Macaca mulatta: one gene and its partner. Each later gene encodes a partner of the first gene's protein in a complex. Links are inferred from orthologs where the notes say so. Each region holds a gene or a part of one and is shown on either strand. Other genes may lie near its edges.

The links. Proteins that work in one complex are often made in the same cells at the same time.
Region 2: the proteins of NCBP1 (region 1) and SRRT are in contact, whole or in part, in a cryo-EM structure (PDB 8PMP), measured with the Homo sapiens proteins. The link is inferred for Macaca mulatta from reciprocal best matches to the Homo sapiens genes NCBP1 and SRRT. Residues at the interface, in NP_002477.1 of Homo sapiens: Tyr461, Gln463, Lys511, Lys557, Ser558, Ser560, His561, Ser564, Ala567, Lys568, His570, Lys607, Ile609, Arg610, Thr611, Gln612, Met648, His651, Glu705; in NP_056992.4 of Homo sapiens: Asp857, Pro858, Arg859, Val862, Glu863, Tyr864, Arg865, Asp866, Leu867, Asp868, Ala869, Asp872, Asp874, Phe875, Phe876.

What each region holds. Positions count from the first base shown.
Region 1 is NC_133420.1:60,757,018-60,764,424, reverse strand, and holds part of NCBP1 (nuclear cap-binding protein subunit 1), read left to right. Parts: intron 1-1,901; exon of another isoform or gene 1,902-1,990; intron 1,991-2,579; coding exon 2,580-2,668; intron 2,669-3,328; coding exon 3,329-3,429; intron 3,430-4,952; coding exon 4,953-5,109; intron 5,110-6,861; coding exon 6,862-6,969; intron 6,970-7,343; coding exon 7,344-7,407. UniProt on the Homo sapiens protein: Component of the cap-binding complex (CBC), which binds cotranscriptionally to the 5'-cap of pre-mRNAs and is involved in various processes such as pre-mRNA splicing, translation regulation, nonsense-mediated mRNA decay, RNA-mediated gene silencing (RNAi) by microRNAs (miRNAs) and mRNA export.
Region 2 is NC_133408.1:48,082,455-48,090,451, forward strand, and holds the start of SRRT (serrate RNA effector molecule homolog), read left to right. Parts: upstream 1-3,507; 5' UTR 3,508-3,685; intron 3,686-3,929; 5' UTR 3,930-3,947; coding exon 3,948-4,069; intron 4,070-7,997. Other genes in the region: TRIP6 (thyroid receptor-interacting protein 6), read left to right, coding at 689-809, 1,241-1,372. UniProt on the Homo sapiens protein: Acts as a mediator between the cap-binding complex (CBC) and the primary microRNAs (miRNAs) processing machinery during cell proliferation.

The sequences.
Region 1 (7,407 bases):
ACTATCAGATGAGAGTGGAACATTTCTTACTTCTTAATACTTTCTGCCTCCTCCCATTCTCCAGACAAATCTTGTCCTTTAATATAGCCAAAATGAACAGAGGGTTTGCAGTTCAGACATGTGACTATGTACATGTATTTTCTAGTTTTTTTCTCAGAAATCATACCTTCTCTTCCTACAGCATTATTTTCCCCTTTTCAAGCTTATAAGAGGGCCTAACAGGGTTGCTTTAAAGGCTGTGGAATGATTCCAAACTGGAACAAGCCACCTGGAAAGTTAAGTTAAGAAGACTGTAGAGGTGGAATAAAGGGTTGGCAAAATATATGAGCCAGAAAGAAGGGAACAGTGTGCTTAAGGTTTAAAAAACAACAACAAAAAATAACTGCTCTCATTCAGCTAGTTTTTCAGCATCTCCATTCTCCCAACCTCACTGAAATTTGGTTCTGAGGAGCTCTGCTTTCTAGAATATGGTTTCTTAACATCAGCACTATTGACATTCTTGGCCAGATTATTTGTTTTGGGAGATGCCCTATGCAACGTGGGATATTTAGCAGCATCCCTGGCCCCTACCCACTAGATGCCAGTTGCTTCCCCTAGTTGTGACTACTAAAAATGTCTCCAAGGATTGCCAGATGACAACTGGGGGCAAAATCTACACCCTGTTGAGAACTACTGCTCTAGAAGAAAGCTGTTGAATGTTATAGCTGGCGGCTCGTGTAAATATTACATCATTTGTGCTTTGTTTTTTCAATAAATGAATCCTGGAAATAAAAGACCTTTGTGTGAAAGTTGGTACTTTGGGTGGTAGAACCTTGATAGGTCCTGTGACTTAGATTTGGTACATACTTAAGAATCAAGGTCCCTGAACCTCTGTGCCACACATGTCTACAACTTTACACAGGCAGATATCTCCAGGAATCAGTACATCTCAGCTCTTATACTGCGTGCATATTATACTTTTTGTGGCATTATCCCTTCAAAATTATAGTCAGTGGACATTCAGTTTATAATGGTAATTAATGGGTTGGGAAGTTGAAGCACAGAGTGTCTTATCCTGTAACCTTTGTAATACCCCCCTCAGATCCTATGTGGATAGTAATAGATTCGTTTTATTCAGCTTCAGTTCATGTGGTATCTGAAGATCATTTCAGTCATTCGATAGATTTAACATTCCAAGCTTAGAATAGCCACGTGCTGTGTTTTATGAGAATCACCATACATCATTTCAAGCCAAGTGTTCCAGAGGCAAGTAAGTGATTATGAACTTCGTAAAGATAATTCCTTTGGCCATTCAAGTCTGAAGATTGAAGTTATATATAACTTACTACTGTGTAGCCCTATATCCAGCTGCAGATTTTCATTATTAATACAGATTCCCAGCACAGTTACAGACTCTTGCTTTCTTGCCCATATGCTGACCAAATAATTGAATCAATGGAAATCGAAAATTGAATTGTATTAGACTAGCCAAAAGTGTTTAGCAGCAGCATCAGGTTCCATACTTAACACTATTATTTTAATTTTTTAAACCTTATGTTAAACCACAAAAGGACTTAGGTGAGTGTGTTAAGGCTTTAAACAAAGTGGTAAGAGATACAGCAAGGGTCTTAATAGACAGGTGTTTGAGGTTAGTTTTTAGCACAGCTTCATTCAACTTGAATTGTTTAGCAATCAAAAGGACAGATGCTTGGTAATGATTTTAGAATGGTAGATTTAAAAAACATAGAGATTATTCAAATGATATGGTTTTTAAATAAATCAGTATCAGTAATTCAGTTAATAAAAGCTAGTTAAAGCAGGAATTGTAAAACATGTGGTCCTTTTTTCCGCCAATGATTTGATATAGTGCTCAGGACTTTTCTTTGAATATGTATATACTGACTGTCGTTCCCATTATTTAGGATAAACTATACCGTCGTGCTGCATCATATGCAGAACTGAAATTGTTCATTGAAGACTTGAGATTAGAGCTTAGAAACATGTGAAGCAAGTGAGAAATCCTAATGTTTTATGCTCCTTTTTCCCCTCTTTTGAAGCTTTCCTCTTTATACCTGATATAACAGCTTTTTTTTTTCCGATCAAGTCTTCCCAAAGCATTCGACTTGGTTTTGCACCCTTATTTTGTCATTTACATAATAATTACATTATTAGACTAATGAATACTACTGGTACTAACAGGTTTCGGAACAAGCAACTGAGGATCAGTAAACAACTCAAGTTGAAAGAATGGGAGTAGCAGTACATGAGTATTCTAACTACTAGTGTTTAACGCGTTGTTGGCAGCTTTCCAGCTTTTCCACAGAAATGCACAGGGCTGCTGATTGCTTAGCTCCATGGGCACTATTCACACAAAATTTAACATAAATAATGCCTCCTGGAGTTATTGTATATAGTGGCTCTGGGAATGGGAGGTGTTGGTTAATCTAGCTTAGTCTGAGAAATGGAGGGTCTGTGAAGAGCTTCTACTCTGTCAGAAAAATAGGGCCTGGTAGAAAACAGATTATAACCTAAAAAGGTTAAATAAAATTTGTGATAGCAGATTTAGCATGTAATGTTAATTTTTTATGTTGCTGAAATAGGTGGGCAGCCTCACAAAAGGAGAAAGACCTCTGATGCAAATGAAACTGAAGATCATTTGGAATCTTTAATATGCAAAGTAGGAGAAAAGGTATGTCACACAATAGGCCCAGGCTGTGATGGGTTTAAGAATGTGGTTGACTGCTTTGATTAATTTTTGCAGCTGAAAACTTGAACTACATTTTGGTAAAGCTGGTATTACCATGCATCTGTATCCCAAATTGAATCCATGTTGAAGCCCCTGGGATGCAGATAATTGATTATTATTAGTAATTTAGTAATTAATAATTTTCATAGAAGATGAGCCTTAAAAGGGACCTAGGGTATAGCCCCTTAATTTATACATGAACTAAATCAGCCCTGAATACTTGAGGTAATTTGCCCAGAGTAACAGAGTGAATTAGTAACAGAGGTAAAATGGAGCCAATGGTGTCCTCCCATTTCTAATGCTTACTCTGCTATCATAGACTGCTTAGTTTTTAAATTTCACTCATCGACTTTTCATGGATTTCTAAAGAACAATAACTATCTGAATTGATTTATACTAAACCCATTATAGCTCTGTATGCGTGTAAGACTATTTTAATCATGTGGAAATTTTTATTTTAGTACACTAAAATAGCAAAAGGACAGATGATTGGTTATGATTTTAAAATGATTTTAAAATATATATTTACATTTAAATAAATTTTTAACAATAAATTTATATTGCTGAGTACTTGACAGATATTTAATGTGATGTCCTCTACAGAGTGCCTGCTCTTTGGAGAGCAACCTCGAAGGCTTGGCTGGTGTTTTGGAAGCTGATCTTCCTAACTACAAGAGCAAGATCTTAAGGCTTCTTTGTACAGTGTATGTATGCAAAAGATTTATGAATCCAGGTGATAATGTATTATCTACTCTTAAATGCTTTGGGAAATGTTTAAAATATATGTTTATGTTCTATATGTCCTTGGCTTTCCTTCTATGGGGAAGTTTGTACAAATGAGCCAACCTTTGGCCCTTTAATGAACTCTTTTTCTTAGGGATAAAACTAAAATTGAGCATTTTCCTTGTGTGTTATTTCTTAGAACCTTAGAATCATTGTAGTTGACTTTTTATAGAGAGAGTACTGTCTCATTCAGATACATATTTTTAAGCATGTATATTTAAATGTATGATACTTAGATTTTAAAATTAGTAGTACCAAACAAATTTGGGAATTGGTAACACGAGTAATAGCTCTTCTTGGAAGACTGAAGAGGCTTTGGAAGCCACTAGTAATAGGCATACTCTCTGGATAAACAGGAGTCTTTGTAGTTACATGAAATTGTAACATATCCATGAGGTGTTTTTAAATTATGAAGGTGACGTTTATCACTTCTCAGCCTTTTAGTTTAGATCAAGTGAAGGTAACTTTAAGAAACTACTAAGGAAATCTTCTGAAATCCTTTATTAAAATGGGGTAGTATTTATACTTAAACTGTTGGAAACCTTGTTTGTTTAAGGCTGAACTTGTATTGCTTCGCAGTATTCTTTAATTTTTGGTTTTGGTAGGGTTTCAGGGAGTACAGTTACCATCAACACAGGTATTTTTTTGAAGACCTTAATTGTCCCTGATGTTCTGCTAGATACTTTAGGAAAACAAGTCAAAGAGAATCTCTTGCCCACTGAATGATTATGAGTTCTTATTTGCTTTTTGAGCTAATTCTAAAGGCTGCCTAAATTAGGAAAAATTGCTTTTTCTAAAGGTTTATTGTAATCCTTTCCCATACTTTTCAAATAACTTTAACAAAATCAACATACTTGGAGTAAGCAAATCTTAACTATATCAGACTACGTTTTAAAAAAATTCAATAATTAAGCTGGTAGGAACTTAGATGAAACTCGTTTTAATTGTGCCTCTTTTCTAAGCAACTAGAATAGTGTTTCTCAAAGTAGAATTCTACTTCCATGACATTTGGTTAGCTAAGTTTAGAAATTCTGAATGCCGCACCCCCCTTAATGATTCTGTATTAAAGAGGCTTGTTTCACCCAGGATTTCTGAGACATTTTACCATGGAAACCATGTTCTGTGGAAATGCTATTCAGTTCCACTAAACACACTTGAAGAAAAACTGTTGTAGCATTAGTTTTATTTATTTCAGTAAGATAACTTTACAATTAAATCATTTACTTTCTTAACTCTTGGATTAATTAATGAATTAAAATGAAAAATTACGGGACTGTGTTTGTAACATTTCTCAGTGACATGCTTTTTCTGGAGTATTTTTAAAGACATAGCTAAAAGTAATCCTGTTCCAAAGTTAATGGAATGATAAAAAGATTCATATAAAATTCAGCAACTTAACGCTATTGTTTTGGGGTTTTCTCGTTATACTGGGTTCTTAAATCAGTGCACGTCTGTTACCTGAGAAGTTGACAATTTATACAACATTAGTTGGACTGCTGAATGCCAGGAATTACAACTTTGGTGGAGAATTTGTAGAAGCCATGATTCGTCAACTTAAAGAGTCATTGAAAGCAAACAATTATAATGAAGCCGTATATTTGGTAAGTTTGTTTGTTGGTATGTTATGACTTACTGTTGGGATGGAGGGAAAAGGTGAGCTACAACCAAATAATTTAAAATGCTCCCCTGAGGCATTCTCATTCACTTTGATAGCTTCATAGGCCACCTTTATTATGATGACACCCCCAAATCTGTAACTGTGTCTCCATCCTTTCTCCTGAGCTCCAGTCCAGTATTCCAGATGCTAGCTGCATAGCCTTCAGATATCTTACCAGGAAGTGCCTAAATTAATGTAGCATTCATACCTCCTTTTTTCTGCCCTTTCCCCAGCTCATTCAGTGGCCACTGTGTACTGAATAGCCCATCTATAAAGCTGAGCTTTAATTTTTGTCTTCCCTTTGCCTTCTTGTACCATAGGTGTTCCCAATCCCTGTCAATTCTGTCTCCCTAATTTCTCTCAAGTCTGTCCTGTCTTGGTCTCCAGGGCCTCTAGCATAGTTTATGCCTTCCTCCAGATGTTCTTAATAGCCTCTTAACTGATCTTTTTGCATCTAGATTCTGTTTTTCACTTTGTGTTCTACAGTGGCACCAGACTGGTCTTTCTGTAACTAGGCTCTGCACATGTTGGTTACTGGTTAAAAAACCCTTAGTTCCTTCCCATGGCAGTGTGAGTGGTCTTAAAAGCCTGGTGCACAAGATGATTCCTTGGGTTGCAGAAAGTGAATATTGAGAACTCTTATTTATCTTAAGTGGAAATGAAATTAAGCCTTACTAATAATACATAGATTAATGGTGATCCAGTGTATATAATAAATAAATATGTATGTGTTGAAGATATGTGATCAAATTCTTTTTTACTGAGTACACAATCAAAAAAGTTTGGATACCGATCAGGCTATAGGATTAAAGTCCAGACTCTTTAGCCTGACCCTTTATGGTTTCCCCAGTGTGTTTCTCTATTCTTGTCTCCCATACACTCTCCAGCAATATCAAAATAACTTGCAGATCCCAAAACACACCTTGTTTTTGAAGCTGTATGCCTATACTGCCCTCATTGCTCACTACTTGAGACTGTTGCTTATCCTTTATGATCTAGCCTAATTGTTACCTCCTTTGTGATGCTTTCCCCAACTCCCTTTGTCATTGTTCCCAAAAACACTTAATTTGCCTTTTAGTGTGGGAGTCACTCATTTGTATTGAGATTGTGCTTGTTCCACTAGAATGGGTCCCTTAACAGTTGACTTTTAGTAGTGTTTAGCAATAGCACACTGAGCACACCCAATAAATGTGTTCTGTAATTTCCATTTCTGTAATTCAGTAAAAATTACAGTCAAACAGAAAAGAAGCTTATAGGTTGAAGTAGCTAGAATATTTTACAATCTGGATTGTTGATGTAGTATAGCATAGAAACCTATGAACTCACAGATTGCTGTCCTTTATATAGTTTTTGTTACAACTTCTCAATTCTGCCATGGTAGCACAAAGCAACCATACACAATATGTAACTGAACGAGCATGGCTGCTGCAATAAAAGTTTACTTATGGACACAGAAACTAGAATTTCATGTAATTTGTATGTGTCATAAAATACTCTTGGTTTTTTTTTTTTCAAGCATTTAAAAATGTAAAAACCATTCTTAGTTCCCAGCTATGCAAAAAACAGGTAGTAGGCTAGATCCAGCCCTTAGGCTATAGTTTTTCAGCCCAATAGTTTAGGCTGTAGAAGATTGCTTGTTTTGTAGTTATTATGAAGAACATTTAGATTTAATAGCAGAAATTGTTTGCCCCAACAGGTCCGTTTTTTATCTGATCTTGTGAATTGCCATGTGATTGCTGCCCCGTCAATGGTTGCCATGTTTGAAAATTTTGTAAGCGTAACTCAGGAAGAAGATGTGCCTCAGGTAAGAGAACCCCTCACGCTGAATCTTGAGGGGCTCTTGAGGGGTTACTGAATCCTGGTACTTCCATATAGTACCAGAAACCTTTCGCTGATAATCCATTAGCAATAAAGAAAAAACAGCAGACTATCACACTGTAAGTTCTTACTATCTAAAAATTAAGTTGACTGGCACACTGGTGGGTTCTCATAATATATGTTGATTTAAATGATGCTGTCCAGTAAGATTAGAACTAATATATCTGGAAATGATCTGTATAAACCAGATGTCATAAGTCCTATTAAATAGCTTCCATAGGATTTCATTCAAGAATAGATAAAATATGAATGAATATAATTAAAGCATATTTTAAACTTAACTTTTTAAAAATCCTTTAGGTGCGGCGAGATTGGTATGTGTATGCATTTCTGTCATCTTTGCCCTGGGTTGGAAAGGAGTTGT
Region 2 (7,997 bases), on another chromosome or scaffold:
GTGATCCTCCCACCTCAGCCTCCTGAGTATCTGGGACTACAGGTGCACACGCCACCATGCCTGGCTAGTTTTCTTCGTTTTTTGTTAGCTTTTTTTTTTTTTTTTTTTGAGATGGAGTCTCGCTCTGTCACCCAAGCTGGAGTGCAGTGGCAGGATCTCAGCTCACTGCAACCTCTGCCTCCTGGGTTCAAGTGATTCACCTGCCTCAGCCTCCTGAGTAGCTGGGATTACAGGCGTGTGCTACCACGCCTTGCTAATTTTTTTTTTTTTTGTATTTTTTGTAGAGACAGGGTTTCATCATGTTGGCCAAGCTGGTCTCAAACTCCTGAGCTCAAGCGATCCACCTGCCTCGGCCACCCAAAGTGCAGGGATTGCAGGCGTGAGCCACTGCACCCAGTCTTCTTCTGTTTTTTAATAAAGACATGGTCTTGCTGTGTTGCCTAGGCTGGTCTTGAACGCCTGGCATCAAGTAATCCTCCTGCCTTGGCCTCCCAAAGTGGGGGCATTACAGGCTAGAGCCACTGCACCTAGCCTCTCTCATTCTCTTTGACATCATCCCTTCCCCAAGACCTAAGGTCATACCTCTGGCCTCCCTGAATCCCTCCTATGCCCCACCTTCTCTGGGTTCCATTGTTGGTGCCCTGCAACCCCAAGGCTTGATGGCCTTCTTGGTTCTCTTCCCCCGCAGGAAGTTTGCCCCAAGATGCTCAGTGTGCGGTGGGGCCATAATGCCTGAGCCAGGTCAGGAGGAGACTGTGAGAATTGTTGCTCTGGATCGAAGTTTTCACATTGGCTGTTACAAGTGTGAGGTCAGGGGCCCCCAGCACGTGCAAGGGGCTGGCAGTGTCTGCGGTGCTGGGTAGAGCACGAGACGGGGAACACAGAGATCTGGGGCTGATGGAAATCTGTTGCTTCTTTCTTTCTTTCTTTTTTTTTTTTTGAGATGGAGTCTCGATCTGTGGCCCAGGCTGGAGTGCAGTGACACGATCTTGGCTCACTGCAACCTCCACCTCCCGGGTTCAGGCAAGTCTCCTGCCTCAGCCTCCTGAGTAGCTGGGATGACAGGTGCTGGCCACCACGCCTGGCTGATTTTTGTATTAGTAGAGACAGGGTTTCACCATATTGGCCAGGCTGGTCTCGAACTCCTGACCTTGTGATCCACCCGCCTCGGCTTCTCAAAGTGCTGGGATTACAGGTGTGAGCCACCGCACCCGGCCAATTGTTGCTTCTTTTTCAACAGGAGTGTGGGCTGCTGCTCTCCTCTGAGGGCGAGTGTCAGGGCTGCTACCCGCTGGATGGGCACATCTTATGCAAGGCCTGCAGCGCCTGGCGCATCCAGGAGCTCTCAGCCACCGTCACCACTGACTGCTGAGTCTTCCTAGAAGTACCTGCTGGGTTCTCAGTTCCAGTTCCCATCCTTCGATTGATCACCCTCCCTGACATCCACCTGTATGACTTCATCACCAAATGCTGTCTCCTCTTTCTCCAATCAAGAAATAATAATCCCTCGAGTTTACAAAACACTTCCAAGTCTGCTGTCTTATCTGATTCTCCCAGTAGCCCATTACAAGCCCAGTTGTTGTTACTACCTGCATTTTTTTTCTTTTTTTTTTGAGACGGAGTCTGGCTCTGTCACCTAGGCTGGAGTGCAGTGATGCCATCTTGGCTCACTGCAACCTCCGCCTCCCGGGTTCAAGTGATTCTCTTGCCTCAGCTTCTCGAATAGCGGGGTTTACAGGCGCCTGCCACCATGCCTGGCTAATTATTTGTTTATTTTTTTGAGATGGAGTCTTGCTCTGTCACCCAGGCTGGAGTACAGTGGTACAATCTCGGCTCACTGGAAGCTCCGCCTCCCAGGTTCACACCATTCTCCTGCCTCAGCCTCCCGGGTAGCTGGGACTATAGGCACCCACCACCATGCCCAGCTAATTTTTTGTATTTTTAGTAGAGACAGGATTTCACTGTGTTAGCTAGGATGGTCTTGACCATCGTGATCCACCCACCTCGGCCTCCCAAAGTGCTGGGATTACAGGTGTGAGCCACCGCGCCCAGCCAATTTTTGTATTTTTGGTAGAGATGGAGTTTCACCACGTTGGTCAGGCTGGTCTCAAACTCCTGACCTCAAGTGATCTGCCCGCTTCGGCCTCCCAAAGTGTCGGGATTACAGGCGTGAGCCACCGCGCCCAGCCACTGTCTGCATTTTTACATGTGAGGATGCCAGAGGAGAGTGACTCCCCCAGATTGCATGGTTCTTAAATGGTGGAACCTGGGTCTTTTTGGCTCAGGTCCAGTTTTTTTGGACAACTCTTGTAATCTGTCACTACCCACCTCTCAGTGCTGGGAGCAAGCATGCCTTAGGGAGGAGGCAAGATTTCCTATATGTATCTATTTTGAGACAGGGTCTCACTCTGTTCCCCAGGCTAGAGTGCAGTGGTGAAATTCAAGGCAGCCCTGAACTCCTCGGCTCAAACAGTCCTCCTAGCTTAGCCTCCCCAGTAGCTAGGACCACAGGGGCATCCTACCAAGCCCAGTTGTTATTTTTTTGTGCGTAGATGGGATCTTGCTATGTTGCCCAGGCTAGTCCTGAACTCTTGGGCTCAAGTCCTCCCTCCTCAACCTTCCCAAGTGCTGGGATCACAGGTGTGAGCCACTGTGCCTGGCCCTAAATATTCTGTAAAGGGGTCTTGCTATGTTGCCCACACAGGTCTTCAACTCCTGGGCTCAAGTGATCCTCCCACCTCGGCCTCCCAAAGCGCTGGGACTGCAGGCGTGAGTCACCTCAGCTGGCCTTCCTATTAGGTCTCACACTCAATTCTGAGAGGGGCCTTGGTGTTACTCCCGGGCGTGGCAGTCCACTGAATGTGGGCGGTCCATACTGTTTCGGGCCTTAACTTACAGCCTATATCATCCAAGTACTGAGTGGGGTTAAAACTGAGATCTACCAATTTTCCTTAAAGATGGGGCGTTTTTGTCGAGGAAGATCAGGAATGGCGGACTTTGCATTTAGTGCGCACTGTGGCACCCACTTTTGGCTGGATATTTGGAGCAGAAAATGGTGGGAGACGATGCTTTAAAATGGTTGCTTCCATCTTCCATCCCCTAAACGCGCTTCCCAAGTCCACGTCCTGCCCGAGGAGAGGACGAAACCCCCCCGGTGAGGTCAGGAGGCCCGTAGGGGGAACACGGCTGGATGAGGACTGGCTCAGACCCCCCTACACATCCGGGGTCGCGCGATCCTCGACTTCGGCCCTCGGAAGCTCTCCCTTCGCGCCCAGAGAGCGCCTTCGCCCCCCGAGGCCGCGCTTGGCCCAGCCGAGTTCCCGTAGTTCCTAAAACTCTAGCCATTCTCGTCTCGAAAAACCGCGCGAGACTTGCGAGAACCCCGCCCCTTTCCCGTCACGCCCTGCTCTCCCCGCCCATCGCGCTCGGTTCGTTAGTTCCAGTTCGGGCCGCGAGGGGGGAGCTTTGTGCCTCGGAGGCGTGGGTGACGCAGGCGCAACGCGGGCCGCGCTCGCTACCGCCCATCCTTGGTTGTCCCACTTTTGTTCCCCTCTCTTTGGCCCTGTAACCAAGAGCTCCGTCTTCGTCTCGCCCTCCTCGTCGTCCTCGTCGCGCGCCCGCGGCCCAGGTCGCCCTGAAATCCAGCCCGTCCGAGCGCGAGTCCAACGGCCGCGGCCGCTCCCAGGTGGGGGAGGGGAGGAGCCTGGGGGGCCCCGCTGGGGCGCGAGAGGAACCGGGGGCCACGGGGGCGTGCTGGGAGACCCTCGGGGCGAGTGGAAGCATTGGAGCCGCGTCCTGAGGCCCAGGATGGTGGGGGCCGCGGAGGGCTGGCCTTGACGGGAGGGAAGCGGGCGAGGTGCCCGCGAGGGACGATCTCTTCCTCCGCTTGTCCTTTTGCACCACCCTGACCGCCCCTCCCCGGTCCCCAGGCCCCCTCAGACCGCGCCATGGGTGACAGTGATGACGAGTACGATCGAAGGCGCAGAGACAAGTTCAGAAGAGAGCGCAGCGACTACGACCGTTCCCGCGAGAGAGATGAAAGACGTCGAGGGGACGATTGGAATGACAGGTGAGCCGTTTTTAACTTCTTCTTGTCCCCATTTAATGCCGTTTCACGCCACCCGCGTCGCTTTTCTTTTTCCCCCTTGTAATTTTTATGAGGGCGAACCCTATGAAATGGCTCATTGGATCGTTTGCTGTTGTTCAGCCTATTTGTTGTTGGCCAAGTAACTAGCTGTGTGGCTTGGTTTTTTAAATTCTCAGCAGATCAGAGCAATAGAGCTAAGAGTTTGAGAATGAAGAAGCACTGTTTATACATGCACGAAAAACGTGCTTTTTTGCTTTCTTTTTGTTTTGTTATGGAGATGGGGTCTTGTTCTGCCCTGGCTGGAGTGCATTGTGGTGCAGTCATAGCAGCTTCCACCTCCTGAGCTCAACCGATCCTCCTGCCTCAGCCTCCTGAGCAGTTGGGAGTACAGGGGGAGGCCATCACTCCTGGCTAACTTTTAAAAATTGTTATTATTATTTCGAGACAGGGTCTCGCTCTGTCGGCTAGCCTGGAGTGCCGTGGCGCAGTCTTGGTTCACTGCAGCCTCCGCCTCTGGGGTTCAAGTAATTCTCCTGCCTCAGCCTCCCGAGTAGCTGGGATTGCAGGCACCCGCCACCACACCTGGCTAATTTTTGTATTTTTAGTAGAGACGGGGTTTCACCATGTTGGCCAGGCTGGTTTGGAACTCCTGACTTCAGGTGATTCACCCAGCTTAGCCTCCCAAAGTGCTGGGATTACAGGCATGAGCCACAGTACCTGGTCTAAAATTATTTTTTGTAGAGACAGAGTCTTGCTCTGTTGCCCAGGTTGTAAATTATATTTTAGGAAGATTGCTTCAGAAAAATAATAATATAGAGTTGATCTGACTGGAGAGGTTGTCAGACTATTTCCCTGACAATATATGATTAGGTTTTTTGTCACTGTTTTGCCTAAAATCTCAGAGTTTATTGGGTGGTGCTGATTGGATTGATTGATTATAAGATGTGGTTATTGACCTGAGGATGTTACAGTGTGGGCTTGGCCTGGGGGTTCAGAATGGCCATGGATGTATTCTGTAAATGAGAATACATAGCGGAAGTTATAAAGAGGATAAGCATTAAGGGAACAGATCTCTAAAGGAGGGGAGCGGTGCTGGAGGGGGTGTGTCAGGGACCCACTGGAAAGTGACACTTAGCTAGACTTAGAAAGATAAGTGGGAATTCCCCAGACACGAGTGACACGAACAGCTTGGAGTTGTGGACATAATGTGTGCTTTTAGCATATTCTAGTTTGGTTAGAGTCCTGTTTCTCAGGATGTCCGCAGACCATAGGGAGTCTCCGAGGCTAAAATTATTTTTTGTGCTAATGTTTACATATTATTGCCATTTCCACTGATGGTGCCATAGCAGTGGTGGGTAAAACTGCTGATGCTTTAGCAAACATCAAGGCAGTGACAGCAAAGAGTTTAAAAAAAAAAAAGAAAAAGCCAGCTGGGCGCGGTGGCTTATACCTGTAATCCCAGTACTTTGGGAGGCCAAGATGGGCAGATCATGAGGTCAAGAGATCGAGACTATCCTGGCCAACATTGTGAAACCCCATCTCTACTAAAAATAGAAAAAGTTAGCCAGGTGCCGTGGTATGCGCATGTAGTCCCAGCTACTCGGAAGGCTGAGACAGGAGAATCACTTGAACCTGGGAGGCAGAGGTTGCAGTGAGCCGAGATCGTACCACTGCACTCCCGCCTGGCGACAGAGCAAGACTACGTCTCAAAAAAAAAAAAAATGCCAGTTCTATCAATGGTTCTTGATGAAAGAGTAAAACATTTAATTTGATTAAATTGGACTCTTGACTGTACGTCTTTGTTTTTGACATAAAATCTCTCTCTGTTGCCCAGGCTGGAGTGCAGTGGTGCAATGTCAGCTCACTGCAGCCTCCACCTCCCCGGTTCAGGCGCTTCTCCTGCCTCAGCCTCTCGAGTAGCTGGGACTCCTGACCTCAAGTGCTTCGGCCTCTCAAAGTGCTAGGATTACAGGCCTGCATTAGTTTTCTTGAGCAAGAGTATGCATGTGATTGAGTGAGCTGAACTAACAGCTTTTTTCCATGGGACATTATTTTTACTTGAATGAATGACAAATAGTGATTGTTCATACTTGGGTATTTGGCAGACATCTTGAAAATGAACTGAGAACCTGTTACTTCAGTGTAAGCTGTCAGTATTTGTTGCCAGTGATGAAGTAGCACTTTCCAGTGAAAATTAAAATTTTGGGCCGACGCAGTGGCTCATGCCTGTAATACCAACACTTTGGGAGGAGAAGGTGGGTGGATTGCTTGAGCCCAGGAATTTGAGAACAACCTGGGCAATGTGGTGAAATCTGTCGGTACAAAAAAATACAAAAATTAGCTGGGGGTGGTGGCACATGCCTGTAGTCCCAGCTACTCAGGAGGCTGAGGCGGGAGGATGGCTTGAGCCTGGGAGGTCGAGGTGAGAGTGAGCCTTGATTGCACCACTGCACTCCAGCTTGGGCAACAGAGAAATACCTTGTCTAAAAAAAAAAAGGAAATTAAAATTTTGGAAAACTTCTATCTACTAATGTGAGCTTGACAGCTTCCCATTAAGTAAAGACTTTTTTGGTGAGATAGGCAGTGATGCTGATGCATACATTTTGATATTGTGTGAGACATATCAAAGTCCATTCAAAGGGCAAGATAGAAGAGTGCATTTTAATGTAGCAGAGAAAGAAATATTCACTGATACTATTTCAGATTGAAGGTTCTAACTAGCCTGTGAGAAACTACTTCCGTCTTGGACAAGGTAGCATAAAGAAAAGATAAAAAAGAACCTATTTCTTGTTGAATTTTGCGTAGTATCCAAAATGAATGTCTACAGTTAATCTGAAAAGGCTTTTTCAACTCCTTATTAGTGTGAGGCCTGATTATCTGTTTTTTTTTTTTTTTTAAAACGGGGTGTTACTCTGTTGCCCAGGTTGGAGTGCAGTGGCACAATCATGGCCGTGGGTCACTGCAGCCTTGACTTCCCCAGGCTCAGGTGATCCTCCCATCTCAGCCTCCTGATTAGTTGGGACTACAAGTGTATGCCACCACACCCAGCTAATTTTTTTTTTCTTTCTTTTTTTTTTTTTTGAGATGGAGTCTCACTCTGTTGCCCAGGCTGGAGTATAGTGGCATGATCTGGGCTCACTGCAACCTCTGCCTCCTGGGTTCAAGCGATTCTCCCGCCTCAGCCTCCCAAGTAGTTGGGATTACAGGTGTCTGCCACCACCCCTGGCTAATTTTTGTGTATTTAGCAGAGACAGTGTTTTGCCATGTTGGCCAGACTGGTCTCAAACTTCTGACCTCAAGTGATCTGCCCGCCTTGGCCTCCCAGAGTGCTGGGATTACAGGCGTGAGCCACCACTTCTAGCCAGCCAGCTAATTTCTGTATTTTTAGTAGAAAGGTGGTTTGACCATGTTGCCCCAGCCTGGTCTTGAACTCCTGGGCTCAGGCAATCCACCTGCTTTGGCCTTCCAGAGTGCTAGCATTCATTACAGATGTGAGCCATCATGCCCGGCCTGCCTCATTTTTCAAATAGAACAGAATATCTCAACAGATTTCAGTGTAGAAGCTATCCTCTACAAAGCCAGAACTTGGAGAGATTGGTGACAATGTAAAAACAACGCCACTTTTTCTCACCAGAATTTTTCTGGAAAATAATCACTTTTCATAAAAACATGTGATCTATTTCATCTTACTGTGTAATTTAAAAATGAAGGTTTTGGAATGTTTTGTTTTAATTTTGAATATAGTAAGTATTGATAGATGTAACCCACATAAGCAGAAACTCTTTGATGTCCTCAGTCATTTTTAAGAGTATGAAGGGGCTGAGGCAGGAGAATTGCTTGAGCCCAGGAGGCGGAGGCTGTAGTGAGCCGAGAGTGAGATTGCGCTACTGCACTCCAGCCTGAGCAACAG